Linked DNA regions of Diceros bicornis minor. The protein of the gene in region 3 purifies or fractionates together with the protein of the main gene of each other region. This does not show direct contact. Links are inferred from orthologs where the notes say so. Each region holds a gene or a part of one and is shown on either strand. Other genes may lie near its edges. The genes, in order: SMARCA5, CENPA, NPM1 and DDX24.

What was found.
Region 1: the proteins of NPM1 (region 3) and SMARCA5 purify together in Homo sapiens (co-immunoprecipitation; 3 studies listed by BioGRID and IntAct, with this or other methods). This does not show direct contact. The link is inferred for Diceros bicornis minor from reciprocal best matches to the Homo sapiens genes NPM1 and SMARCA5.
Region 2: the proteins of NPM1 (region 3) and CENPA purify together in Homo sapiens (affinity purification with mass spectrometry; 4 studies listed by BioGRID and IntAct, with this or other methods). This does not show direct contact. The link is inferred for Diceros bicornis minor from reciprocal best matches to the Homo sapiens genes NPM1 and CENPA.
Region 4: the proteins of NPM1 (region 3) and DDX24 purify together in Homo sapiens (affinity purification with mass spectrometry; 3 studies listed by BioGRID and IntAct, counting the BioPlex papers as one, with this or other methods). This does not show direct contact. The link is inferred for Diceros bicornis minor from reciprocal best matches to the Homo sapiens genes NPM1 and DDX24.

The regions. Positions count from the first base shown.
Region 1 is NC_080750.1:33,315,158-33,322,675, reverse strand, and holds the start of SMARCA5 (SWI/SNF-related matrix-associated actin-dependent regulator of chromatin subfamily A member 5), read right to left. Parts: upstream 3,007-7,518; 5' UTR 2,615-3,006; coding exon 2,438-2,614; intron 1-2,437. UniProt on the Homo sapiens protein: ATPase that possesses intrinsic ATP-dependent nucleosome-remodeling activity.
Region 2 is NC_080751.1:55,990,290-55,997,291, forward strand, and holds the start of CENPA (histone H3-like centromeric protein A), read right to left. Parts: upstream 3,005-7,002; 5' UTR 1,309-3,004; coding exon 1,224-1,308; intron 1-1,223. Other genes in the region: SLC35F6 (solute carrier family 35 member F6), read right to left, coding at 6,252-6,721. UniProt on the Homo sapiens protein: Histone H3-like nucleosomal protein that is specifically found in centromeric nucleosomes. Replaces conventional H3 in the nucleosome core of centromeric chromatin that serves as an assembly site for the inner kinetochore.
Region 3 is NC_080740.1:85,422,549-85,429,617, forward strand, and holds the start of NPM1 (nucleophosmin), read left to right. Parts: upstream 1-4,057; 5' UTR 4,058-4,145; coding exon 4,146-4,203; intron 4,204-6,373; coding exon 6,374-6,453; intron 6,454-7,056; coding exon 7,057-7,069. UniProt on the Homo sapiens protein: Involved in diverse cellular processes such as ribosome biogenesis, centrosome duplication, protein chaperoning, histone assembly, cell proliferation, and regulation of tumor suppressors p53/TP53 and ARF.
Region 4 is NC_080763.1:39,614,868-39,622,483, reverse strand, and holds the start of DDX24 (ATP-dependent RNA helicase DDX24), read left to right. Parts: upstream 1-4,616; 5' UTR 4,617-4,684; intron 4,685-5,950; 5' UTR 5,951-5,955; coding exon 5,956-6,670; intron 6,671-7,616. UniProt on the Homo sapiens protein: ATP-dependent RNA helicase that plays a role in various aspects of RNA metabolism including pre-mRNA splicing and is thereby involved in different biological processes such as cell cycle regulation or innate immunity.

The DNA.
Region 1 (7,518 bases), on a different chromosome or scaffold from region 3:
GTTGGGGGGAAAAAAAAAGATTTGGATTCCAAGACTCCTGAGGTCATATGATTATTGGCATACAGAGTGCCTATCTATCAGTCTAGTCAATAGTGAGAGCTGAGAAGAACAAAGACAGGCTCCATCCACACTGCCAAAAGATGATAATAAACAAAAAATGAGATTGTTTCCTTGATCTATCAGTACCAAGCAAAAAGGAAAAACTAACTGAATACATAGGAAAGGTAGCTAATATTTCTGGGAAGGTCAGCTTTGTCAGAAAAAAATCATAAATGAAAGATTTCATTTATTTTCTGATTTGGGGAAAACCCACCTTAAATTCTACTTTCAAAAAGAAAATGGCATTTTAAAATATGTTTTTCAACTGTGAACAGATTGCCAGATATATCATGCATGTATACTCAAACCTAGTTTTTACCATTGATTTTACTCAATGACTTCTGAATTCAGTTGAGGGAAAAAAGCAGACAAGTGACATTTATTTTAAAAGACCAAAAAAAAAAATCACACTATAATGTGAAAAGAAAAAAATCACAACTAAAATTAGTCAGTGAAAAAGAGATTGATAAAAGATAAAATTACTGTAACGCCTATTCTGACAAGGTAAAAGTAAGTCATTCTTTAATAAATGACATTGTCAAATATCTCCTTTGTAAGAACATGATAAGGCAAGATATGTGGGAAAAGGGTCAGTTTCAGAGCAAACATGGGTTCTATCACAGGTTCTACTTATCAGAAGACTCAGTTTCCTCATCTGGCAAATACTAAAAATACCACTGACTTCATTTGGTACTTATTATCACATCAATAGTAATACTTAAACTCTAATTCCACTTTAATTTAAAGATAGCAACTGAAAGCCAAAATAGTTTAGGCTTTAAATTACTCTGCTTTCTGACATTTAAATAACATCTCTAGTGAGACATCGATTATTATTCTAAAATTTAAATGACAGACTCTTTTGAGAGGCTAATGAAAACTCTGGATACCACTTTGTAAACAATTGTGCATTTAAACACAACTGCTTTCAGCGTCACAGATTTTCAAACCCCCTTAAGCCATGGAGTAGGACCAGGTTAAAAAGCCCTGATAATCCAAAAGAACTATTTAAAACCTTGAGTAAAAGAAACAGGCAACACTAGATAGGAAATGGAAACCAATCTCAAATCACTGAAAACTACAGAATATCAGATGTCCTACTTCACTAAAACCTACCCTCATCGCTAAAAGTTCTTTGAAAAACTAACAAAATAATGTTACTTTACCCTGGATTAGACCTTTGGTGCCCAAATAAAAATACTGAACCAAGTATTTCAATGGTAACCTGCGCTTCCATTTCCTTATTGTGTTAATTCTGCATCAAGATTCATTTTTAGAGCAGTATTACCTCCATTCCGTCTATCTAAGGATGGAAAAATCCCAAAAAGCCTTGGGCTGCGACTATAAAATATCTCAAAACAGATCGAAGGCCAAGAATGAAATTTGGAAGGAGCAAGCAATCACTTTGTTCCCAGACATCGCAAAGCCTTGGAGCACACCCAAGAGACCCGCCTGGCCGCTCCCCAATCTTTCCACCCCCGCATACTGTCACCATTCCCCGGCCAACCCTAGCCAAAAGGCAGGGTCGGCAGCGAGCGGGACCAATTTTCAAAAAAAAGGCCAAGGCCCAAAAAGAGGAATTGCGCCGCACTGAAAGCCAACTAACCGCCCTTGGCTCACTAATTCATTCATCCACCCATCCATTCCCTCCCCCTAAATGAGAGGGGGGTCCAAAACAGCTGCTGCTGCCTTGGTCGCTTCCCTCCCTAAGGAACAGTGCCTGGGAGGGGCCTCCTCTCCCTTCACAGGAGCAGCTGCGCCCCGCTTATCCCCACTGCGCACTCGGCCATCCAGCTCTCGCCATTGTTTCTGCCCAGAACAGATACCGCCCCCGCAGGGACCGGGACGAAGAAAAGCAGGCCCAAGTCCTCGGATGCGCTGCTTTTAAATGCCTTCCCCACCCCGCCCGTCTATCCCTCACTCCTAAGGGGCAGCTCCCTCGCCCTTCCCCCAAGTTTAGTGGAAACTAAAACCTAGATTCAGAGACGAGAGAGAGAATTACAGGAGTCTAGAGGAAAAAAATTAAAAAACCCGGGTAAGTCCCTCTTGGCCTCGGTAATCAAGAACATCTGTTTAATAAGAGAGTTCAAGGATTTGGCAAGATTCGCTCCAGAGACAATGTAAAATGGGAAGTGCAGAAATCCATTTCAGCCTCGTTGGGTAGGTTAAACACAAGGGCGCAAGGGTGAGAGCATCATTTCGGATCCAAAGAGTTTGAGGCCGAGTTTGGGTGCAGAGAGGCTACGCACAGCTCTGCGTCCGATCACTAAAATCCAGGCGAGGGAACCAGCTCCTCCTCACCACGGCGCCCTCTCCCCAGGCCACAAGCCGCCCTCACCTCCATCTCGGAGTCCGCGGGGCCGGCGCTGGCCGCACAGGAAGCCACCTGGGCCGCGATGCCCTCGGGGCCGCCTTTGTTGCTGGTGTTGCTCCCGCTGCTGGCGGCCGAGGCTGCGGGCTTGGAACGCGCGCTCTCGGGAGGCGGGGGTGGCGGAGGCTCGGCCGCGGACGACATGATGTTCCTTCTGCGTCACCCGATGCTGCCAGAGGCCGGGCCGGCAGGGAGGAGGAGGAGGCCTAGGCCTGGCCGGCTACGTCGCAATGAGCGGACAGAGGAACGAGAGGACCACCCGAACGCCCCCCGCGCCGCGGCTCCGCGCCGAGCCTGAGCCGGGCCCAGCAGCCTCCTCCTCTCGTCGTCCTCCTCTTCCGCGGGGCTCGGGGTTCGACCGGCGCTTACCTCACGGCGGGAATCACGTCGACGAGAGTGGGCGGGGCCACCCGGGTCACTGAGGTCAGGGAAGGCGGGCTGAATTACAGGAGGGCGGAGGGTTGGAGGAAGAGGAAGGGAAAGCGAAAGAGAGACCGAGGCGAGGAACTAGTTTCGCCCCCTCCGCTTCTTCCTCGTAGATAGCATCTATCTCGCCAGCATCCCAGACAACTACCTACGCCACCGACTTTCAACCCTCGCGAGATTGATAGTTGGCTAATTGACTGAGTACCGAGTGCGCATGCGCATTCTCCTCTCCTCACCCTAGCCACGCCCCCTTCAGGGCCCCCAGCGGGCTCTAGGGCGAGGAGTGGGCGGGGCCTCGAGGAAGAGCTCGGAGACGCAAGTCTGTGCGTCGGCTCCCTGGCGTGACGCGAGCCCAGTCTTACATGCGTTGATAACGGCTGGCTGTCCTCGGCGGCCGTGTGTTCTTGGCTTGGCTGGTTCGGCGGACTCGTGGAAAACTTGCCCAGGTTTTGCGACGCTTACTGAAACGGAGGCCTGTGGTGGCCTTAGCACTTCGATCGCCTCGGCTTATAGGCGTGACGCCACAGCGTTGACGATATTATAGTTATCCCAAGTGACGTCTCACGTTTGTGTTGTCTAAAGAAAAGGGCCCATTAGGGTGATTTTGTTTTGTTTTGTTTTTATCAGTCATTTCTAAATTTCTTCTACTTCCCTTAGGTACAGAAACAATAGTTCCTCTGAATTTACGTGGTAAAAGTAAGCAAATTATGTTCACTCTACCATATGAGAAATCAATAGATAAGGAAGAGTGGCGGTGAGTTGTAATTTATCCTCGATCACCAAATATTAAATAAAAATGCACATCCTTCTCCTTGTTAAAGGTAATCACCACTAATTATTTTGTACACTGCCTTAGGTTATCTTCAACGTAGCCTAAGGGTCTTGTGCATCCATCTACCACAGAATTTAAGCACGTTGTATCTGTCAACTTTAAAATAAAATTGCCAATTATTTTACCAGCAAAATGAGTTTATTTGGGAATAGCAAAGGAATTGCAATTTGGACATGTGCACCATAGGCAAGGCTGAAGAACAAAGGAAGGGAGCTTGCTGTTATACAGAAAAAGGAGTGTTGGGACAGTTCTAAATGAAAGTTCCTTAAATGAAAGTTCCTTGGAGGAGAGTAAAAGTTCAGAGTAGCAGAGCTCCTCATTGGCCGAGCTGCAGTGTTTTCCATCGGTGGGGCTTGTTGCTGGGCAAGAAGAAAATCTTTCCTCCTCCTAGAGAAGTAAGGTAGTAGGCAACTTTCTGTTGGAGATGTAAGGTAGTCTCTTCCTGTTTGGGGTAATTGAGGAAGAGTAGTAGGGCACTGGTGCTCTCTCTACAGGCCTTCCCAACTCCAACTTTAGTTGAGGTTTCTTTTGCTAATGTTCATATATTCTATTTAATGACAAATCTGCATACTACACTAAATTTTTGTCTGCCCTGTACAGGCGCTTATTTATCTTTGTATCTCCATGTCCAGTATTCTATCAGTGTTTATTGAATAAAGCAGGCACATTTTTCAAGAGTTAACGGTTTGAGCTAACTGGTTGATTATGTTGAATTTCAAACAGAAGAGATCTCCTTTGAATATATAGCCTGCAAACTTTTACCTAATAGAATGATAATTCTTTAATTGAGATCTGGAAAAATAATCCCCCAACCCGTTAGAAATGCTAAGGATATGTGAAAAGAAAAATACCTACAATGATGTTCATCATAGTCTTTGCTAGTAATTGCAAAAAACTAGCAATAGGCTAAGTCCAATATTGAAAAGTATGATTCTAGAACTATTGTATACCCACAAAATGAACTATTATTAACCTTTAACAACCATTAATGTAGAAGAACATTTATTCTGAAAAAAACTTTAACTGAATGTTAAAGTTTCAGTTAAAAAAATGTTTAACTGAAAAACGTTTTAACAGTTCAAAAATATAGATAAAAGTTTGGAAGGATAATAAAGTTCTGAAAGTGTTGTTGCTGTATATTTCCTAATTCTTTTTTGCTTGTCTGTGTGTTTTTATATTACTAAAATAAATCTGTATATTATTATATTGAGAAGACTTATTTTTAATATTAAAAATGTTTTCTCACCAAAAAAAATTGTGTGGAAGGATAAAAATGGTAGTATCTAGGGTGGGACCTGATGTATAGACAGTCAATAAATACTTATTGAATAAATATTTATTTAATATTGACATTGTTAAGTAGAAAGAACATAACATTTATTTGGTATTCAGACTATTTCTTCACTCCATAGTGATACATAAATATCTTGGGTCCTGGTTTGGAAACCCTAAAAATATACTTAAGTATATAAATGGAAGGGTCTTAATTCTGACAACTATTTAAGGAAAGCAATAAATAGCAAGAAAAGCAATAAATTAAATTATCTCCAAAATGGCAATTGTACTTTAACATGTGCATTTATACTGTGAGTTTCTCATGTGAGCATGGGAAAGCTGTATTAGAATCTTGCTGGGGAAAATTGTAGAGGAAAGATAATTAGAAAAAAGGACAAAGAGGAGACAGAATGTTTGAATCCACGAATCTAACGTCAGGGACAAAGAAACAGATTTTGAGCAGAGTCTAGGAGCAGTGAGGAAGAGGAGAGGGGAGCTACAGAAAAGATAGGATGCCTGGAAACTGAGCTATAGGGACATTAGCTGAGTTAGTCAGACAGACAGTAGTCTTTATATGGTGGCCAAATCACGAAGGCTCATTTCTCTTAAAGACTAATAGGCTAAAACTAATAGCTACTTCTGGAATTGATAGTATAATATAGGATTAGTGTAGTGGCAAGAGAGTAGGCTGGGGAGTCAGTCAAGCCTAGATTCCAGTGCAGGCTCAAGAACTTAGTAACTGTGTGAATGTAGGCAAGTTATCTAACTTCTTTGAAATCAATTTTCTCATCTTTTTATTATTATATTATCCTAACTTTATATTGGGGTAATCTTATAATGATGTCATAAGAATTAAATGAGATGGTGCATGGAGGGTGTTTAATACAGTGCCTGAAATATAATGAGCCCTGTGTTCAAGTGTTGGGTATTCCAATCCTGAAGAATCGTAAGACTAAGGGTCAGAGTCTAGTTGGAGGAAGAGTAAGCTAATGGTTTTTTAATAAGTAGGAGGATAAAGGAAATAGTGTCAAGGAAACTCTAAAAGAAATTACTGCTTTAACCACGTTCCCAGAAATAAAATGCTACAATATAAAACCACGTTAGTGTTCTATCTCAAATATGCAAATAGGTATTTATGCCTGAAATTCCCTCTGTTAGATTTAGCGTGCTAGAACAGCATGTGCTGTGCTGAATAGAGTGGAACAAAGAGATGTTGCCAAAGGACAAAAGATGTCACAGAGCCAGGACTCTCTCAGCATTTTCACCTTGAATGGTAACAAAAAGGACTTAAGTTTATCAAGGAAAAAGTAGGAATGCTGAGCCTCTCTTCATCACATACTCATTTTATTTTGTGAAAGCCTAGGAGAATAAAATCTGGTTACTACATAACAACAATAAAACAGTATTGAGATTGTGAGTATCTAAGAATGGGAATTTCCAACACTAAATACCAATGATCACATCTTGTCTGTATCTTGCTCAGAATTCTCCTACATAGGTCATTTGCCATGTAAGGGGATTCCAATTAAACCAAAACATTAACTATGCTCTTAATAAAAAAGATAAGTAAGGTTTAAACACATTTCACTTCCTTGAAAAATATAAGCTAAAGTAACTCAGACAATATGAAATAGATAACTTGAATAACGCTATAACTATTTAGGAAATTAAATCATAACCAAAAAACTCCCCAAAAGAAATCTCTAGCCCCAGATGGTTTCAATGGAGAATTCTGTCAAATATTTCCACACAATTCTACACCAATTCTACATAATCTCCTCCAGAAAATAGAAGAGAGTACACGTGCCAATTCATTTTATGAAGCTGCTATAACCTTGATACTAAACCGAACAATGCCACTATAAAAAAAGAAAAAGGCAGACAAATATCACTGATGAATATAGACGCAAAAATCCTTAACAAAACTATTAGCAAATACGGTTATGCAATATGTAAAAATAATTGTGTACCCTGACCAAATAAGAGATTCCAGAGATGCAAGACTGGTTCAATGTTTGAAAATCAATCAGTGTTATCTGCCATATTAACAGATTACAGAAGAAAACTCACATGACTATATCAATCGACGCAGAAAAAGCATTTGACAAAATTTTAACACCCATTCAGGATAAAAACTCTCAGAAAAAAAAAAAAGAGGGAGACTTCCTTCACTTAGTAAAGAGCACCTACAATACCTGCAGATAGCGTTATGCTTGATGGAACTGAATGCTTTTCCTCTAAGATCAGAAACAGGCAAGGATTCTGCTCACACCACTGAGATTCAATACAGTGCTGGAAAGGAAAAACAGAACTGTCCCTATTTGCAGATGACGTGATTACCTACACAGAGAACGCCAAGAAATCTACAAAAACATCCGAAGGCCTAATAAGTGAGTTCTGCAAAGTTTCAGGATACAAGATAAACATTCGAAAAATCAACTATTTCTGTAAACTAGCAATGAACATGTGAACTCAATGCAAATAGGTGTTTTAAAAAACGGTCCTGGAGAAATAT
Region 2 (7,002 bases), on a different chromosome or scaffold from region 3:
ACAGTACCATACAATAAGAAATAAAACGTACAAATAGGAAAAAGAAGATTCGAAAGTCATTATTTGCAGACCATATAGTAGCCTATTTAAACATTTCAACTGGAGCAACTGAAAAACTATTAGGATTCACAAGAGAATTCAGCAGGTTGGCTGGATGCAAAGGTTATTTGTTTAGGAAAGAAAAAAAAATCCCGTTCACAGCAGCAACATCTATAAATAATCTATACTTTTTTCACCCTGCTCTTAGTCATGCAGCAGAAGACAAGTAAAGCGGTTGCTGCCACAGAGCCCAGTTCTTGCCAGTGGGTCTCCCACCCACCAGACCACAGTAGAGAAACTGAGGACCACAAACCAGTCTTCTTTCCGGCACATAACCTCGGGAAGGGAACAAGGTGAGAGCACCGCTTGAGTTAGAGCACGTTGGTTAAGGCCCAACACAGCCACTCACTGAAGAGAAAAAACAAAAAAACCTGGAAGGGTACCTTCGTCTTTCTTTTTTTTTTTTTGCTGAGAAAGATTCGCCCTGAGCTGACATCCACGCCAATCTTTCTCATTTTGTATGTGGGCCACTGCCACGGCATGGCCACTGATGAGCGGTGTAGGTCTGCACCCCTGGACCAGAACCTGGGGCTGTCGAAGCAGAGTGCACTGAACTTAAACCCCAGGCCATGGAGGCTGGCCCTGGAAGGGCACTTTCTAAAAGCAGAATTGTTGTTTGAAATCGTCACAAAAAGCAGCCAATAATTTTGCAATTTAAAAAATCACAAACTGATTTTGAAAGCCCGGTGTCTGCCGGAACAGGGGTGTGACCTTGTTCAAGTCACCTGGCCTGTCTGCGCCTCGGTTTTCTCATCTGTAAAATGGGCACAATATAACGTTGAGATAATTCTCGTAAAGAGTTTAACACAATGTCTAGTTAGCGGTAAGCACTCCATAAATGCTAGTAGCATCGGGAAGAATTAGCACCAGCACCCAGGCTGTCTGGGCCCGTCCTTCTCCTGCGCGGCACTGCCTTCCCCAGTCCCCGGGGCCGCGGCGAGCAGATGGGGGACGGCAGAACCGCGCTGGCCAGTGCAGAGGATGCTAGCGGACCCGGAACCGGGGCATTCCGGCACAACCCCAGGCTCGGCACGCGACCTCGGTGTTCTCGTCTGCGAAACGGGCACGCGAGCCGGCCGTGCCCACCTCACAGCACGTGCCGGGAAGGGGCCGCGGCCGGTTACCTAAGGACGGGGCCCGCCGGGGGCTGCCGGGGGCCGGGCTGGCGGCGCGCCTCCTCGGGACTTCGGGCTTGCGGCGCGGGCCCATGGCGGGCGCGGAGGGTTGCGGCCCCGCGGCTCCTTCTCGGCCTTCGGAGTCTGGAGACCAAGGCTGGCGTCCGCGGGCGGCCTGGCAGCGCCCCGACCCGTGGCCCCGCGGTTGGGTGCTCCGCAGCCGCCGCGCCGCCTCACGTTCAAAACGCCCGCATCGCCGATTCCCTGCCGGCGTTTTTTAAAACCCGAATCCAGCGACTCTCAGTGGCTGCCTCTGGAACGCCCCGGCGCAGAGCGACTGCGGGAGGACCAATGAGAACACAGCCCGGGACCCTGACGGCGGCGGTGATAGGAGGAGAGAGCGGGAACATGGCGGGTCCACAGCAGGACTCAGCCTATGGGAACTTGGAGAAGTAAAGGGAGGCGGGAACTTCTCCCGCCCTCCGCTTGCCTGTCGGGGTGCTCGTCTTTGAGGGATCTGACCCGAGTCCTCGGGTGCCCTCTGGTAGGAAAGGGAAGGCTCGATTTTGAAGATGTAGATGGTGAGTTTGTAGAACGCGTTTCTCTAGACAAATCACTTTGCTCAAACATTTTATGTTTTGCCCTATCAACCAACCCAAGTCTTTACCTTGGATTGGGGATCTGAACCCGAGAATAATACCCTGTATCTTGATCTCGGTGCTCTTTTCTCTCCTGACTTTATAACTAAAAGTAAACGAACACCACATTGCACTGACGACTTTGGATGTTTCTGTGATGCCCACGCTGACATCCCCCTTGGTTGTTCCACGGTCCTGGTGGGAATTCCAGCCCAGCTCGGGAAGGGAGCGACTCTCAACAGGCATGCTGAAGTGAACTAGGTCTACAGTCCCGGAAAGCAGAATCTTCTTGAGTTCGCTGGCTGGAGCGGTACCTGGGGATATTCCGTGGGTCCACTGGCGATGGGGGTGAGAAGACCCACTCTGGTGGCGGCTTACACAATAGAAGACCCGACAGCCAGGGGCTCTGCAATGTGAGCCTCCTCCCTGAATGGCTCTTATATTCATCCTCGCCCCCATTTCTCTAGTCCAGACCCTAATCAAAGGTTGTTTTACTGGTCTCTGTCTTCAGTACCTCTTAACGCCAATCAAACCTGTCTCCATATAACCACCAGGTCATCTTTCTAAATAGCAATTTGGATCATGTCGCCTCCCCTGCCTAAAACTCTCCATGGCACTCCACCGTCTAATGACAGAGTTCTAATGCCTCAGCAGCACTGAGGGCACAGCACTGTCTGGGCGCCTGCCCACCTCTCTGGCCTCTTCTGCGTTGCATGCTTACTGCCAGGCACACCAGTCCACTTACCTGCAGTTCTTGACTACATCGCCTTGTTATACGCCTTCACGTTTCCGTACGTTTTACAAGCTGTTCCTTCCTGGAATACTCCTTCTCCTGCCCTTCAGCCCCCAGCTGGGACTCCTGCTCATCCTTCAACACCCAGTTCAAGTGGAGCTCTCTCTGACAGTTCTAGATGGAGTTAGCTGGTCTCTCCTGTACTACCTTCCCTGCACCTCGTACAAAGGCCTCTTATTGCACATCACACTGTGCTGGAATTCTTTCTTTACATATTCATTTCTCCTGTGTTCTTTGATGGATCCACTCTCCTTGGAGCACATCAGTCCTCAATCAAGTTTGCTGAATTCTGGGATAGAAACCCCTTATTAAATTTTTTTTGACAAGTGTTCTTAATGAAGAAGGGTGATCTATAAACTTTTATGGCTACATAGGGAAACCCCTGCTTACCTCGAGTTTTGAAAGGATGTAGTCAACAAAAGGCAATCTATAAGTGGGTCAGGGAGGTGAACACGTTTAGGAATGCTGAGAACCTCTCCTTTTTATAGGTAGCCAAGGTCTTGAGAGGTAACATGACTTGTCCAAGGCCATCCAGTCAAGGTAGAGGCAGGGCTGAGAACACAGCTCTCTGCCGCCAGATTCTGCTTCTTTCTCCTACACAGGAGGCCCTTTGCTCCACTCCTCTGAAGTCCTCATAAGGGGTCAGAGCTCTGACCTCCTGGAGCGCTGTCTGCTTGTTCAACTACGCAGAGTCCTTTGGGCAAAGTAAAGGCAAACAGAACCATTTGGCACGGGACTAAATCTCCGCCTTGTGGGCAGATTCCCGGTGGAGAGGAGCCTGAGGGCTACTCCCAGGCCTGGATGGCAGTCCTGGAGGAAGCTCCAGCCCCAGGCTCCCCTAGGATCACTCTACGAGGACTAATCAGTTCACCATGTGGATGATTTAAATTACACTGTATTTGAACCGATGTTCAAATATTTGATAACCGATGGAGGTCTGTTATCAGTTATTCTGATTTTGGGGCTCAGGGCCTCCACGCCAAATGCCCACCATTCAGGGCTCCCTTACTCCACTCAGAACAGTAGGCCACAGCTACAGACATTCCCCGCAACCATCCAGACTCAGGAGAGGGGAGGTCCTTCCCCTTGCACATGACCAGCACAACACAGTAAGGCCTCTCATTCACCCTCAAAGCACCTCTGACAACAGGGTACAGTGGACACATCCCAGGGCCTGGGAGGACACCTACTGCCAGCATAAAATTTTCTGGAGGCATCCTGTTTTAATTTATCATCGATGTGAATTTCACATTCTACTCCATGATGGTTTGTTTTAATAAAACATTTCTCCTATGCTGAGCAAAACCGATGTTCTGTGCCGTGACAATGCTGGGACTTCAGTGCCCCCGATGGACCACTGTGGTGGACAGTGCAGCCCTACGTGACACTCTGCTGTGCACTGGCACATAGAGGCACCTTCAGTTTATCATCTTATGTAATTTTCACACTCATCCTGCAAGATGGAGGCTGGCTTTCTCATTTTGGAGATGTGAAGACCTAAAGCTCCAGGAGGTAAAGCAGGTTCCCTGAATTGGTGGCAGGCCTGACAGGGTGTCCCTATGCTCTGCAACCCCTGACCACTGAAGTCCCATTATAGTTCCCCCCACCCCTTCAACATTAAAATCAACACAGTCTCCCATGGCAGCACTCAAATAAAGGCCAAGTGCTTCTCTAACACCCTCTGAAGCGGTTTGCATGGTTGAGCGCACAGGCTGGGCAGTCCGCAGCAGAGGAGCAGTCCTGGACTCTCGGTACAGGCCCCTGGCTACGCTCCCTGTGGCAGAATGGGATGGGCAAGTACTGAGAACCAGGAAATCTGGCTTTGCATGTCACTGGCTGTGTGACCTTGGGAAGTTCCTTCCTCTCTCTGGGCTTTAGTTTCTTCATCTGAACAATGAATGGTGGACTGGGTGATTTCTATGCTTTGGTACATTAGAGCTTTTCCATCCCAACATTCTAGACGCTATCCCCAGGAACGTTCCAACCCTTGTGCTCCTTCCCTCTTGTTAAAAAAAAGTCCATACTACCAATTTCCCTTTTTAAAATAAAGCCTAAAACAACATTCTAAGGCCCCAGTTTTTTGGACAAGGCAGCTGTAGTCCCCACCACCCTCACTCTCCATTTCCTTCTTCTGTGAGCTGGTGGGATGGAGAGGCCCTCCTCTCCCAACAAGCTGTAAGAACCTGCTGGATTCCCGCATAGTCTGAGGGCTTTGCTTGTCAAAGATCCTTTCCCCAGAACCTATTTTAAGGAAGGCATTCAGTGCTTTGTTTTATGATTGAGCAGCCCAGGAAGATGGTCTGAGGCTCCAGAAACTACCAGAGTGAGGAACACTGGAACAGAGGGCTGCTCAGCTCCCTGCAGTCCCTGATGCCAGCCAGTCCATCTCTTCTGGGTGGGGTTACCAGGAGGACAACAGCATAATGCTTCTATCCCAGCCACAGGAAATTCCCCCCAAAGACCCCAGGGAAACCCATATGGGAGGTGGGGGCCCAGGTGTGGAATCAGGCAAACCTAGCTTAGAATGCTGGCTCCATGAGGAAGTCACTTAACCTTCTTGGGGCCACAGTTGCCTTGTCTGCACCCACCCGTGCAGGCTGCTATGAAAGTTAAGCACTTAACACAATGCCTGGGATACCAGAATTACTTTAAATGGTAGAATCCTGGTAAGTCCACCAACCTGGAGGGTTCTCTAAGAGTCAGGTTGGGAGGTGGGGGCTGAGGTCCAAATGTACTCTAGATCTCAGCCTATGGCAGGATCATGTGGCTGCATGGCCAGAGCCTACAGCAAGAGAGCCCTCCTGCCAAAAAATACAGAACCCTAGGCCTCAGTTTCCTCATCTTTAAAATGGAGGTAAAGACATCCTAAACACTGTTATCAAGGGCTGCCTGGAATTCTGGCTGTAATCCCTCTCAGTCAGGGAAGACTTGAGGGTGTGTGAGCAAGGACATCAAAACAGGCTTGGGGAGGAGGCACTGTGGGCAGAGGGGCATTTCCAATAAATGGGCTGTTACTCCTTTCCCAGGTAGGTCAAAATCGTAGGCCTACAAACTGTGCCCAGCTGGGGCTGGAAGGCACTGAAGCCACAGTGTTGATACCTTCTGCTTTACAGAGCAGGACACCAAGGCCCAGAGCGACCAGGTAATGGGCTAGGGAGCATACACGAGTCTGCTGCACAGCCTGACTGAAACCTAGGTCTCCAGACAGGGTTAGGGAATATCTTACAAGTTTTAGAAAATACGGTGCTTAACTTTCATTCTCTTGCATAACAACCTGCACAGGTGGGTGCAGACGAGGCACAGGTGGGTGCGGATGAGGCAATCGTGGCCTCAAGAAGGTTAAGTGACTTCCTCGTGGAGCCAGGCAGGGGTCGGTCACTGTCCTCAGGCCTGTGGGGGCTGGGTAACACCTCTCTGCAGGGGGTTGTGACAAAGGAGGACCAGGGTATCATGTCATGTTCTGTGGCAGCAGCTTTCCTGGGGGTCTGTGGGGAGGGGCAGGGTGAGGCCTTGGGCACAGGGCACTCGAGGCTCACCAGCCCGTGCGACCTCAGCCTCAGGGTGAACAAGGAGTGTCCAGGTGGCAGCAGAGGCCCTGCAGAAGGCTCAGCTGGTATCGTTGATGGCAGTCCGAGAGCCACCCAGCAGTCTCTCATGCTCACCCTCCTCTGCCGGGGGCCGGCCCCTGGACAGGCGGGTGAGCAGCGGGCGGTGTAGCCCGTTGTAGAGGGCGGTGCCCATCAGGAGGATGAGGAAGCCGAGGATCTGCAGTGGGTGGAAGGCCTCCCAGCCCAGTGCCAGGCTCACTGCCCAGATGACAACAGTGCGCAGGCTGTCCAGCACCATGCGAGTGGTGGCGCTCAGTTCCTTAGTGACACTGATGCCCGCAAAGTTGAAGAAGGCAATGCTGCTGATGTTGCCCAGCAGCGCCAGGGCAATGAGTGGTTGTCGGCCCACCTGGCAGAAGGCGTCCAGCGCATCCTCCAGCGTCCCGTGAGGGTTTCCACTGAAGGAGCCGGCGGGGATGTAGTACATGGGCACCAGCAGCAGGGAGAGGATCACGAAGCCAAAGAGGCCTGTGGGAGTGGAGGAAGCATATCACACTCTCCGCTCCGTCCCCAGACTCCCAGCACTTCCCACCCAGCAAGGGCTCCACTGATCTCCTGGCCACCTCCTTCTAGCGGCCCTACACCAGCTCCTTCCTTTCAGGTCCTGGAGCCGCTCCTCCCATCAGGAATTCACAACGGCCTACTGAATGGGCTCTAGCTGCCCCTTCTCCACTTTAATCCACATCTTCCAACTGGACCAAGAGTAAGAAATACATTTTACATAGTGACCAGTATACGTGTGCACAGGT
Region 3 (7,069 bases):
TTTAATTAATTTAAATTTAAGTAGCCAAATATAGTTAGTGGCAACCACATTTGACAGAGCAGCTGTTGATCTACTAACTCATAGAAAACACAAGGGATAAGGAAACATGTTAAATGACAACATGTCTCAGTGTATAATGTGTAGACCTTGTTTGGATATTCACACAAACCAACTACAAGAGACATTTGGGGAAATTTGAACTGGATAATTCATAATATTAGGACTTATTTAAAACTTTGATTTGTATTATAATGGTATTATGTTTAGGCTTTAAAAATTGTTATCTTTTAAAGATACATACTAAGTATTTATAGATGAAAATATACATATCTAGGATTTTCTTTAAATGATCCAGCAGAGGGGGAGTGGGAAGGATGGTGGGAAGGTATATATGAAACAAGATTAGCTATATGTTGATAATTGTTGAAGCTGGGTGATGGGTATATTGGTGTTCATCATAATATTCTATTTCTGTGCGTGTTTGAAGATTTCCATCACAGAATGTGTTAACAAATGAAGAAATAAATAAAACCTGGAAATAGTATATATGTTCATCTTATGCAATATAATGCAACTCCTAAAAAGAATGCAGTGAGCTTCCATATATAATATCATGGAAAGGTAACTAAGCCACATGAAATGAAGAAGCGAAGTTGCAGAAAATTGCTATGGCCTGAAGGTATTCCCCCCAGATTCATATGTTGAAATCCTAACCCCCAATGGTGATGGTATTAGGAGGTGGGGTCTTTGGGAGGTGATTAGTTCACGAAGGTGGAGTCCTCATGAATGGGATTAGTGCTCTTATAAAAGAGACCCCACAGAGATCCCTAGCCCCCTCCACCACCTGAGGATACAGGGAGAAGTCTACCACCTGGAAGAGAGTCCTCACCTGACCACACGGGCGCCCTGATCTTGGACTTCCAGCCTCCAGAACTGTGAGAAATAAATTTGTTGTTTATGAGCTACCAGTCTGTGGTATTTTGTTATAGCAGCCTAATGGACTAAGACAACAATATATAAAGGATGAGCCTATTTATGTAAACAACAAAAAGTTGCATTTTTATGTACATATATTTGTAAGTAAATACCTGCCCTTTTACTGTACAAGTCCATTTCTTAGAAATACATATTACAAAACTACTTTAAGACATCCATAAGGATATATGTACAAAGATACTGTATTAGTCTGCTTGGGTTGCCATAAAAAAATACTGCAGACTGGGTAGCTTAAACAACAGAAATTTGTCTTACACTTTTGGAGGCCTGGAAATCCAGGATGAAGGTGCCAGCTAATCCAATTCCCAGTAAGTGCTTTCTTCTGGCTTGCAGACAGCTGCCTTCTCACTGTGGCCTCACATAGAGGAAAGAGAGCGAGCTCTTGTGTCTCTTCCTCTTATAAGGAGGACACAAGTCCTATCAGATTAGGGCTGATCCTATGACCTCATTTAACCATTTAACCTTTATCACTCCCTCACAGGCTCTAACTCCAAATATAGTCACATTGAAGATTAGGGCTTCAACGTATGAATTTTGGGGGGACACAAACATTCAGTCCATAACATTTACTAAAGCATTATTTCTTATAGCAAAACTATGAAAACAATTTTAGCGTCTATCTATGGAGGAATGGATATTAAATCATAACATTTCCATATTATGTACTAGTTTGGACAAATGTCCAAAATATATTTTTGAATATGCAAAAAAGGTGAAAAATATATGAATCACACACATTTAAAAAAAATACAAAAGAAAAAAACCCCAACTATGTAATCTCTCTCTCCCTATATATATAGTCTGGAAGGATAATCACACAACTATTAACAGTGATTACTCCTAGGGAATAGAAACAGAGATATGGAAAGAGAGGCATTTTACTTTTTCACGTGTATAGACCTAAATAACTTTAATTTATTAAAAAGATAGTGAGCATTCATTACATTTGTAAATCTGAAAAATGCAATAAGTGATTTTTTTAACTGCTTGATTCCATGATATCATATCTAGACTAGGTGCCTGAAATATTAAAACAACAAATGTATTTATAAAACATGAGCTATAGCTCCCATATGGTTCAGGATCTGTACAGAGCTAAATTTGAATAATCATGGTCGAGAATCCAGAAAGAAATTACAAAGTAGTTCCAACTTTTACTTGCATGGGCTCAAAGAACATTAACCCCTTCTCCTACACTGTCCTGTAGCTCCTCTTGAGACTTTCCCATTCTAAATCCCCAGATTCTTCTCAGCCACAGTCCTCTCCTCCCTTTTATCAGCCTTTCTCATTCCATTACATAAATATCCTTCCAAGTCTCAGTTTTTTCTCTAGCAATTGTTCATCTTCTCCAACTCAAAAGATCCAAGAACCATGTTGGTGAAGGCTCTTCTTCACTTAGGGGTGAGGAAAAAGGTGGGGAACAGCTTGGCCTCATTCACATACTGGTCACACTGATTTCTCCAAATTTAGGATTTTGATTTTGTTAACTAATAATTGGTTCATGTGTTCTGTAGTTTATCTTCCCAACTGGATTGTCTTTGGGGAAAAAGTGGTAGGGGCATCACTGGCACTATTTTTACTCTTCACAGTACTTCTTATTGTCTGATCTGTTGACATAAAAGATTGTTAGAGGGGATCCTCAAAACTCACAGTGCCCTGGAGCTGCGGAGGTCCTCAGTTTGTCAAGGTGTAGCTGGTTTAGAATGCTAATTTCCAGGCTCACTCCCCAAGAGTCTAATTAAGGTTGCATTTCTTACAAGTTAGACGCTTTCTTTACAGCTCAGAACATTCTTAGGAATGTTCAAGATTGAGTAGTGCGCTGTCTCAGAGACTGGTCCCTACATAACCCTCCCAGCTCTTTTAGAAGGATGTTAGCACGGGACTCAGAGCTCGAGAACCATCTCATCACCCATTTGGGTACCTTACTTCACCTCTCTCACCCGTTTCCTTGTCTGCAAAGTGGGGATAGTCACACCGGCCTCACGGGACCTGATGTGGGGACTTATTGCAGGTACACAGCCCTCTTTTTTGTGTGAGGAAAATCAGCCCTGTGCTAACATCCATGCCAATCTTCCTCTTTTTTGCTGAGGAAGACTGGCCCTGCTCTAACATCCGTGCCCATCTTCCTCCACTTTATGTGGGAAGACGCCACAGCATGGCCTGACAAGCGGTGCATCCGTGGGCGCCTGGGGTTCCGGACTGGGGCCGCCAGCAGCGGAGCGCACACACTTAACCGCTATGCCACAGGCTTGCTCCGATACACAGCCCTTGTCTTTAGGGAGAAATCACCCAGCCCTGGTTCTTGCGGGGCTTCTATGGAAGAGGCTGACTCAGTTCTCTTTTGGCCCCAAAATGACATAAAGATGAGAGATTTCAACTTCGGAGATGTTTCCTCAGAAAGTACAGAGCTGTAAAAACAGAGTTGGGTAAGTGCGGCCAGCAGCTGCATCTTTTCTCGCCAACAAAGAATAATTCGTAGTCCACTCTTGTCTCTGGCACCTGAAGCTTTTAACTTGGGGGATACAACTCTGAGCCCGGGCCTTTAGGCAAGTCAAAAATCCTGAAGTGGTTATGCCTGTTTGGAGGTCTGCGAGGCACGAAGGGATGGAGAAAGGTGAAGCGAGCTGCTTTCTGGGTCACTTCTAACTGGCTAGCCCCCCACACCTAACACAGCTAAAACTTGCCGTCGCCATTTTGCAGGGTGGGCTGCGCAGGCTCTTGGCGCGACGCCCGCGCGCCTGGGCTGGAGAGGACGTGGAAGGCTTGGAGGCGGGGGAGCGCGCGCTACCAGGGGAAAGCACGCGTGCGCACGGGCGGCGGCGGCGGCGGAGGGGTGGGGCCGGGGTACGAGTGCGCGTGCTCGGTGGGAGCCCGCGAAGTACCTGGAGGAGGTGGGGGGCGAGGTAGAAGGGAGTAATGTTGAAGAGCGCTTGCGCGGGAAGGCGACGGTCCGGGGAGGGGGGCTCCCGAGCACGCGCGCAGAGACGGGACTTGGTCAGCTCTCGCGAGAGCTTCAAGATGCTATATATGTGCGCAGGGAGCCCGCGTCCTTTCCCTGGTGTGATTCCGTCCTGCGCGGCTGTTCTGTGCAACAGTGGTCGTTTGTCTCCGTCCGCCTTCTCTCCCACCGAAGTGCGTGCCACCACCCCATGGAAGATTCGATGGACATGGACATGAGCCCCCTGAGGCCCCAGAACTATCTTTTCGGTAAGTGCTGGGGGGGCTGGAGCGAGGCCGAGCAGGCCTAGTGGCTTTGAGGTGGGGGGGGGGGGCGGGAATTCTGAGGCCTGGGCCGGTGGAGAAAGGCAGGCAGGCTGGAGGCCTGGGGAGTGGGGCGCGAGCTGCCGGGGCCCTGCCGCCTGAGAGGTGGGGGAAGCGGGCTGCCGGGGCTCTGCAGCCTGAGGGATGGGGAGCCAGGACAGGAGAGCCGGCGCGCCAAGGGTGGGAAGGAGGGGCGGCCTGAAGCCTGGGGCGTGAGCGGTCCGAGGCCCAGGGCCTTGGGGAAGGTGGAGCCGACAGGCTGAGGGTTCGGCGTTGCCTAGGGCGCACAGTCGAGCCCGGAGCGTGATTTCTTTTTAGGGGTGTGTGAGTTCGCAGGCTTCCGATTCCGCGCCGGTGTCTTCGGTGCTGGGCCTCGGCTTGGTGCAGGAGGTTGTGTGGGCTCGTCATGTGAGCATGGGCCTCCTTTCCGGAGGAGAGGATACTTCCAGCCTGGCGTTGTCCTCCGGCCTTGAGGCCTCAGGGTCAGGAGCTCTAGGGCCGACACTCGGCCCGGGTGCGTCGGCTGGTTACCGGGGGAGGGGAGGCCCGGCCGGGCGTGAGGAGGCCGCAACCGCTGGGAGCACGTGGTTGCCACGTGGTTGGGGCAAGGTGGGGGTGTGGGCGCTGCATCCGGGGCTCACTGATGTCCTGTCACCCCCGAGCCTGGGGTCCTGGGTTTTAGTTGAGGCTGTTGGGCGGGAAATGTTAGGTGAAGTGGCTGGTAGCGCCAGGATTCTGGAGGTCTTTGTTCATTGCTTAACATTTGCGTACTATGATGGTAGTTCTCATTTCTAGAGCCATTTTTCTGTTTTACCGCGATGGATGGAGTAGCCACTTTGCAGATGACGATACTGATGCTCAGAGAACTAAAGTGATTTAAAGAATGTTGCACTTGTAGGTAAATAGAGACTAGATCTAAACCAAGACCCTTGTCTCCAGAGCTGGTGCGTTATAAAGGATTGGTTTTTTGTTTTTTTGGAGAGAGGCCCATGGAGACAGTTTTCTGTGTGGCATCGAGCAAACAGTTTTGTTTTTTTTTTTTTTAAAGATGAGAAATGTGCCGAGAGTTCAGTTAGGTCGATAAGACCTGATACTGTACTGTACTTGTAATTCTATACCAAGGTTTTGAGATCTCTCCCCCTCCTCAGCACACAGTGACATACTAAGGAGAGGCCTGGTTTGGCTTTCAGTCGCAGTGAATTTGGTTGTTGAAGCCATTTCTTTGTGTCAGTCAGGCTTGGAAGTAAGCGCAAATCCTGCCTCAAATTTATTTTGTTTCTTTATATACCATGCTGAGATTTGTTAATTGAGCGATAACATTTAAACATATGCACCAGTAACTGTTAGATGGCAATTAAATGGAATCATTTAAAGTTTCATTCTGATGGTATTTAAAACAATTTTCTTACTTGTGGAGTGGGAGTAGGTAACATGCACTATACATTAAGGCTTTTATTCTAGCCATCTTGAAGAGCTGAGGTTTCTGATCAATTTACACCCAAATATTTTTGTGTTAACGTTTCTATTGGAAATATCTTTAGGGTATATCTATTCTTGCTTTAAACATAATTTTTGAATGTGATTTAATGTACATCATTTCAGTTACTTGAAAGATGGAATGCTGGCCCCTTAACAAGTTTTAGTTCTTTTACATTTGTAGTTTTTCTGTTGTAAATACAAACTGTTCATGTAGGCATTTGTGTAACCATTCTCATTTCTAAATTTGCTGCTTTTCTTGGGAGTTGAGTTAGGTAATTTCAGCTTTTTTAAACAGTGGGATTTTACCAACATCGTACAATTTGGTTTCAGATACTTGTTTCAGTTACAGATTTACTAAATCTTTGAGCTTATTTCTATCTGAGAATGGTAATAGTGTAGTTGAGAATCAAATAGTATAATGGGAAAGTGGAATTTATGAAGCCCTAAGCCCTGTGTGGATGTTATATGATGTTTATACATGTTTGTGTTCAAGAGATCCAGAAAGAGATACTTCTGCCTTGCCTTCTGGTAGCCAGAATAGTGAAAAACTAGTTCACAAATACTTTTTTAGTTACCCACACTGAAGTTTCATTGTTATTTTTTTCTCTGTTATAGTTGCTTTTTTCTTCATTTACAGGTTGTGAACTAAAGGCTGACAAAGATTATCACTTTAAGGTGGATAATGATGAAAATGAGCACCAGTTATCTTTAAGAACGGTACTTAAACTTTTCAAAATAAACTACTTAACCTTTGTCCATTTCAGTCTCTTAGTTCCTCCTCGTGTGGCTTAATACTTAAGTATTTTTTATAACTGAGTGTTGTATATACCTGATTATATACCTCTGATAGAAAACCTGGCATTTTCACCACTCATTTGGTAATTATGTAAAGTCCAGTCACACTGTTGGTTCAGCTTTCCATATTTGTATACTTTGATGCCTCAGTTCCACTATAAAGCCCTTTAGGGTAGTGATAAATCTTTTGTGCCCTCCCACAGAGACTAGCCTCTGTTAGTGTCTAGACTGCTCAACTTGTAGTAGGTGGTCAATAAATGTTAGGTGATCCATACTGTGGATAGGTGGTGACATATACAACTGTGTCATCAAATGCATTTTTATGCATTTGTTCAGATTTACTGAATATGAGAAATTGATGGGCAGGGTCACATAAAAGTTGAAGACAACATTGTGCTCAAATTAGTTTTCCATCAGTGGTAATAATGAAAAGTTTATAGTTTTGTTTTTTAAAAAACTCATTTTGGGGGGGAATTGTAAAATAGTGGCAACTTAAAAGTTGAAGTACTATTTTTCTGTTCACAGGTCAGTTTAGGGG
Region 4 (7,616 bases), on a different chromosome or scaffold from region 3:
CCGCTGTGCCACCAGCCCGGCCCCGACCACAGCTTTTAACGTTAGTGACTTTGCTTGGCTCTCTGCTCTCCAGGGTTCTGTTCATCTCTAATATCCCATCTCTGTCCCCCGCCCACCGCCCCCAACCCAGCCTAAGTCTTAGGGCTTAAGAGTAACCTGGGTTGGGACACACTGGTAGCTCTCAAAGACTCAGGGGAAAGGTGGGTTCAAGTCCCTTCCCAGCAGACACTCACCTCGGATCACAGCAGCCTGGACGAAGGCAAAGAGGGATGCCCTGCCCCCCACTTCCCCACTTCCCAGGCTCCTGTCTACCTTGGGAGGTAACTGCCTGAGAACGCAGAGCAGTGTCTGAAGTCCTGCGCTTGGTGAGGCTGCTAAGGACTCCAGCCAGCTAAACAGTCCCACCCTGGGTGACATTAACCCCACAGGTGAGTCATTCTCATCCCAGGCTTGGTGCCAGTTAGACCTCACTTTTGCGTTGCTAACCTAAGGATGGAACAAGTGTGGGCTGGTCTTCAGGATAACCTAATTCCAACATACCCCAATGCCAGGAGCATTACCTTCCCTCTCAAAATCCCCTTCTTGGATCTGTGAGAAATCCCTAGTCCTCCTTTTCACTACACTGTGACCGCACATCTTACGAACTTCATTTTGTATGAGGTCATCTCTCCCCTGTGCCCCCAGGATGTACAAATTTACAGTACAAAACATTTTACATTTGCCGACAAATGGCTTAGAGCCCTAAGCCCATATCTGTAATAATCAGGGATGCAGCGCAGGCTGGGGGTTAACAGCATGATATCTGACCAGTGGCCTGGATTGTTCATTAACAACTAGTGTGACCTTGGGCAAGTTCATTAACCTTGATGTGCCTGCCGTATTAGTTTGGAGAAACGCAGGCACTCAGAAAATACACTTATGACATTTACTTGTTTCTGTCCCTTGCCCTTTGCAGAATAAGTCTCATGAAAGTATAGATTGGTCTGTCTTTTTCTCTTGGGTCAGCACTCAGTACTGAGTAAATATGTTTTGAATGAAAGAAAGAATAAGGAGGAGAGAGGAAAGTGAGAATTGCAGGGTGAAGTTGGGGAAGAAAGGAGGGGCAGGAAACGAAAGAAGGGGCAGAATCAAGGGCGGGAGGGGCCTCTGCTTGGGATATCCTTGAACGGCCTGAGCAATGAGGCTTTGCCTCTCACGCAAGACGAGGAGACGAGGTGGCCAGCCCACAGCCCCGCCCGTCCCCCAGCCCCCAGCTTCGTTTAGCTTTGGAACAACAACCCAACCAGTTCAGCCTCCCCTGCTCCAGCTTCACTGGGCTCCTGCCTGAGCACTGTCCCTGGCACAAGCAGGGGAGAGGTTTTCAGAGCCGGGTTGCAGGAGCCCCTCCTCCGTATCAGTTGGTATCCGCTCTCCTTCCCAGCAGAACTCGAGGCTGCAAGGACATCCCCCACCCGGAGAAACAGAGACATTCTCTGAATTTCCTGTCACTAGAAGACAGCTAGAAAGACAACTTGTAGGACAGAAAAGAATGATACCATCAGACCACGTGTGACATTAAAAACACCATGAACAAAGTTAAGAGACAAGTGATCTACTGGGGGAGAAAAACCCAAAACAGTCTCACCATTAGTATCCCCAATGTAAAGAGACTTCTTATGGAAAAATTTTTGAAAAGAACTGTCTTTAAAAAGGAATGCTAAGACTAAAAGAGGTAGTTCCTAAAGAGAGAATTACATGTGGCCAATAAATATTTGAAAAGATGTTCAATCTCACTAATGGGAAAATAATTTTTTAAAGGAGATATTGTATGTCTGTGCACGCACGCGCGTGTGACGCCTCTATCAGCCAGGGTTTGGCCGCAGGTAACAGAAATCACTCCAGCTAACTTAAGCAGAATGGGTTTTAACACAGGGAATTAGGTGCCTACAAAATTGTTCCAGGATTGGAGGAGGAAGTTCTAGGCTGAGGTTCCAGGAATGACACTCTCCTCAGAATGACACTGAAGGAGTTGGCCCCGTGGTCGCAGTGGTTGAGTGCGCGCGCTCGGCTGCTGGCGGCCCGGGTTCAGATCCTGGTCACGCACTAACGCACCACTTGGCAAGCCATGCTGTGGCGGTGTCCCACACAAAGTGGAGGAAGATGGGCACGGATGTTAGCCCAGGACCAGTCTTCCTCAGCAAAAAGAGGAGGCTTGGCACGGATGTTAGCTCAGGGCTGATCTGCCTCACAAAAAAAAAATGACACTGAAGAACTGGGCCCCCAACGATGCAGTGACCACTGCCATGGTCAAGAAACTGGGGTATGAGGAAGCCACTATCCCACTTGTTGGCTCTGAGACTGAACTGCCTCGGATATCACCTATGCCAGTAAAATGATGCATCTCGATAAGGTAAGAACTGGATCTTGGGACTGTCTACTGCTGCTGCTGAAAACCAAGTCCCGCACCTTCCAGTTCTGGGACGGGAGGTCTGCTTGGCACAATCCAGGTCATTTGCAGAACTGGTGCTATGAGAGACTCTGGGGAATGAGGTCATTAGCTCTCTATTGTGGAGGGTTCACAGCAGGGGATGAAACAGAGCTGAGTGAGTATCACTCAGTATCTACTCCAGGAAGTAAATAACCCGAAAACACCCAGTGTTTGCATGATGAGGAAAGGTGACTCCTATATCCTGCTGGGGGGAGTGTGTTCTGACACATACTTTCTGGTCAGTGACACAGAAACATGCAGTAAAAGCTTTCATTCCATTTGACTCAGAAATTTTGCTTCTTGGAATTCATTGTAAGGAAAGAATCAAAAGTGCACAAAAACAGCACGTGAATGATTATCATGGTGTTTCTAATGACAACAAGTTTGAATCAACAGGAAATCGAGTACACAAAGTTTTATACCTCCACATACTAGAATCCTATGTAGCCACTGATGATAGAGGCAAAGGCAGGTCTACCACGAAGCGAAAGAAGCCTGAGTTAAGGGACTCTTGCTTGTACCAGCTCCTTCCAAGACCCTGGGAGCAATTCTGGCCATGTGCTCACATTATGTACATACCCTGTTGGTTCTATTTCTCTGGAGAACCCTGACTAATAAAGATGCTTTTGTCAGTTTTTCAGAGACCTCTACTGAGAATCTCCACCATGCACCATTTTGACCCCTCAAGATGGTCCCCAAGTCCCACTTCAGGGGCCCTACTTCCAGCCTCTCTCTGGTGAGGTCCCTTTTCCCACTAAACAGCCCCCGTAGGAGAGGTTCTGTCAAGACAACTGTAGGGCCTGGGCCTTGCTTGCTCAGCAAGAGCCCACAAGCCCATTGCAACCATGTGTCCTTCTGGCTCCTTCTGGGCAGGACGCCCAGCTGCTGGGATCTGTAACAATCCAGCGCCTGTGCAGCCCCGGATCTTACCTTATCTCACTTAATCTTACCTTATCTCACTTAAAGAACACCCCGTCTTAAAGAGGCACAGAGCCCCTCCACGTGAGCTACATTCCTGGGAACGCTGATCATACCAGGGACAACCCCTTGGCAAGCATATAGCCTTTGTGTCCCCTGCCTATATAAGCAACCCCCTCCCCGCCCGCGGTGGCGGGTGCACGTTCCTGTCTGGTCGGCCACCACCAGACCTCCCTGTAAGTAACTCCCAATAAACCTCTATGTCTGGTTCGCCATCTCCGGGTCTTTTCTTTGATCTCTCCACAACCTATCCTACACTGCTCACCCAACTGGGCATGCAGCCACACACCAACCCTGCAATCCTCGAAGGTGTGTAACCCGCCCAGAAGAGACAGGAACCTTTGTCCCGCCACGGAGGGATATGCAGCCTTCCTCCTCACTCTGTCATCAGGGACAGCTCCAGTCTCTTGTCACGTACACTTGGGCACAGGCTTTATGCCACCCAGACTCTTGGTGACACACTGGCAAGTTCCCCCAAGATATGAGTTAAGCTCTGTCCCATGGTGGCTCCACGGAGAGTAGGGACGCTCACTTGACCTCAGCTTGGTGAATCCCCCCATTGTCCTTTAGCACTTCCCACAGTCATCAGACACAGAGACAGCATATGGGAAAGGTGTCCCAGATGGTCAGGTGATACCCACATGGAAAAAGTGATTATCTACTGTGAAGCTGATCTCTCTGCACGCATCAAAGAAGCCAGTTTAGCTTGATTAAAGCGTGGGGTCTGGAGTCAGGCCGACCTACCCCAACCATCAGTGAACAGGCCAAGCATAAAAACACCGGGGAAAACAGCACCTCCAAACAGGGTGGTTGGGTTGTAAATGAAACCCTAAAATGTTTGCAAGGCTTCAGACACACAGTAGGTACTCAATAAGCGGACAACCACTGCACTAAAAACTTACAAAGAAGACAAGAAAACTCGCGTTCCCGTCCGTGAGCCGGCGCAGAGACTTTCGGGCTGGAGACAGCGCGCTTCCCGGGTTCCGCCTGCGCCCTAAGCCGGGGAGGAGCGCCGCGCGTCCAAGCCCCGCCCACCACCCCTCCGCGCACTCCGCCCCCGCACCGCGGCGATCCCGCGCGGCAACGAATCGGGTCGCGGAGTCTAGGGTGGGGGCGGGACTTCCTTCTGCAGCGCACACGCGTGCGTGAGTGCAAGCCCCGCCCCGGAACTGCGGGCAGCGCTGCAGCTGAGGGGCTGGTGCGGAGGTTTCTGAGGCGGCTGGCCGGCGTCTCCACGCGGTGAGTCCCGGAGCTGGAGGCGGGGGGTCTCTGCAGGGCGCCCAGTTCTCGGTCCGGAGAGGGCGGCCGCCGGCCCAGTCAGGCAGCCTGCGCGGCCCCGCGCCGGGGCCCCTTCTGTGTTCGTCAGGGCCCGGCGGCCTCGGCTTCACCGCTTCGTGCGCGCGTTCGGGCCTGAGACGGGGCCGAGCGCCGGTCACGGGCGGGCGCCACGAGGAGGGACCCGCTCGCTGCTCAGGCCGCGCTCCGCGTCCTGGCCCCCGTGTGCCCGACTACCGCCCCTCTCAGGGTTGAGCCCGGTTGTTGGTGGTCGTGGCGCAGCCGGGGCGGTGGGCGAACCTTCCCGCGTCTGAGGTGCTCACCTCGGGAGGCGCCATCTAAGCGGTTTGGGACCTGCGTCACCTTTGGGTATCCGCGTAACGATCCAGTGAGACACACAGCCTCAAAGTCACCCCCATTTCACACACGGGGAAACCGAGGGTCACAGGGATTAATATATCCACCGCCGACCCGGAGCTGGCCACCAGGGGTCCGGATTTGAACCAGGGTTTACCTCTATCTTTTCCCCAGGATCTCGTATTTTCTAGGCCTTTCTGAAAAGGGAGAACATGGATCGCGGTCCACTCAGTTTTTGCTTAAATGGTTTTCAAATCACTTAAAACGTAATGAAAAGCTGGACGGGTTTTAAGCCATGTTGTACAGGCCAGGATGGTGGGACGGGCATTTGCCCTCTTGGGGCGAGGCTTGAGAAGGAGGGAACCTGTGTGCACTTTTAATAAAGCTGGCCCCCTCAGGCCCCCACCGCCCAAAAAAATCCCGGATTCTTATTCTGCCTTTAGAATGGCTTGGGTGCGGCAGGCTTTACATAATTTTCTTTATTTGCACAAAACATTTTTGTGACTTAGATATTATTAGGCCCCTCCCCCTTTTTAGAAGATGAGAACACTGAGGTTGGAGAGGTTTAAGCGGGACTGTCCAGGGGCACACAAGAAGTAAGTGTTGGATCTGTAGTGCACCCCAGTTCTGTCTCGTGTATCTTTGCTCCATCTCCTGCGTCTGCTCTGTTCCAGGCCAGGCTGCCTGCTCTGTGGGTGTCTTTCCTTCCCTCTTTGATCCTCTTTAGCTGGAAGCATCAGTGTTGGAGCCGTCTTTGTGTCCTCGCTTCTTTGCAGGGCCTGATACTCTCTAGGCTGCTTGGAAGACATTTGTTGCCTCAAAACCCTGTGCTTCTCTTTTGCCAACCTAATGGAACATTTCTTTTCTTTTCAGCAACCATGAAGTTGAAGGAGAAAAAATCAAGGCCAAAGCCGCCAAGCTATGGCAAATTTCAAACGAAGGGAATCAAAGTTGTGGGAACATGGAAGCAGGTGAAAATTGACCCAAATATGTTTGCAGACGGACAGATGGATGACTTGGTGTGCTTTGAGGAGCTGACAGATTACCGGTTGGTTTCTGCTGCCAAGAATTCTTCCAGTCTCTTCTCTAAGGAGAAGCCCAAAAAGAGAAAGGCACAAGCTCTTTCAGAAGGAGAGGAGGAGGGAGAGTCTAGCTCCTCAAAGAAAAAGATGAAGTTGAAGAAGAGTAAAGATGTGGAAGCGGAAGGAACCAGTACCCAGAAAGAGTTTAAGGTCAAAGATGCTGAGCCAGAGGCCCAGGGAGATGGCACAGTTTGTCCTGATCCAGAGGTAGGGGAGATGGCATCAGAAAGCCCAGCCCAGACTATTCCAAAAAAGAAGAAAAAGAAAGGAAAAAAAAACTTGGAGCCTTCCCAAGGTACTACTCCAAAGGTGCCCAAAAAAGCAAAGACGTGGATGCCTGAAATGCATGACCAGAAGGCAGACGTATCAGCTTGGAAGGACCTGTTTGTACCCAAGCCAGTTCTCCGAGCACTCAGCTTCCTAGGCTTCTCTGCGCCTACACCAATCCAAGCTCTGACCTTGGCACCTGCCATCCGTGACAAACTGGACATCCTTGGGGCTGCTGAGACAGGTAGGGGTATTCTTATCTGGCCAGGGCTAGATTGCTTCTGGATTGAGCCTGTGGCTGCTAGCAGGCTGGCTGGCTGGGAAAGAGGAGAATGTTGGGAACATAACCATAAAAGCGGTGTTGAATGAAGGTGTTTAGAAGTTAGCTAGCTCTGGGTTGAAATCTGTCACTTCCAGGTTGGTACCCTAGGCAGGTCACTTTCTCTCTCTGAGCTCTAAGGTGTCCGTTATAAAATGGAGATAATAGCAGTATCTAGTTTTACTATGTGGGTTAAATGTAAATGCTACAGTAAACTAAAGTTTACACAATATGTTGTAAGTGAGCCTTTTCTCAATGTCTCAGAGGGGTAAAGTAAGGCTAAGATCAGCCCTCTGGACAGGTAGATCTCCATTAGTATAAGGAAGAAGTGTCTAATTCTCAAGAGTTGTCCCAAGATAAAAAGGGCTGCTTTGGGAGTTGGTGTGTTCATTGTCATTGGAAGGATTTGAGTGTGTGGTAGGGAATCGTCGGGTAGATTTTGTAGGCAGATTTGGGCATGAGGTGACTATTGGGACTAGGCATTGTTTAAAGTTCCCTCATTCCCTGGGCCTTCTAAGACTTTGTAAAGCGATGACAGGTTCACTCACCCTGGGTAAACCAAACTGCTGACTGGGGGGAGGAGCTTGTACTGCTTGGAACTGATAGTCCAACTAGACCAGCAGTAGAATATATAGATAGAAATATAACGTGAGCCACATAATTTTAAATTTCCTAGGAGCCATATTAAAAAAAGGTAAAAAGAAACAGGTGAAAATTAATTTTAACAATATATTGATTTAACAAATTATATAAAAAATATTTTAACAGGTAATTAATGTAAAATTATTGAGATATTTTACATTCTTATTTTTATAGTAAGTTTTCAAAATCTGATGTATATTTTGAACTTGTAGCACATCTCAATTTAGAG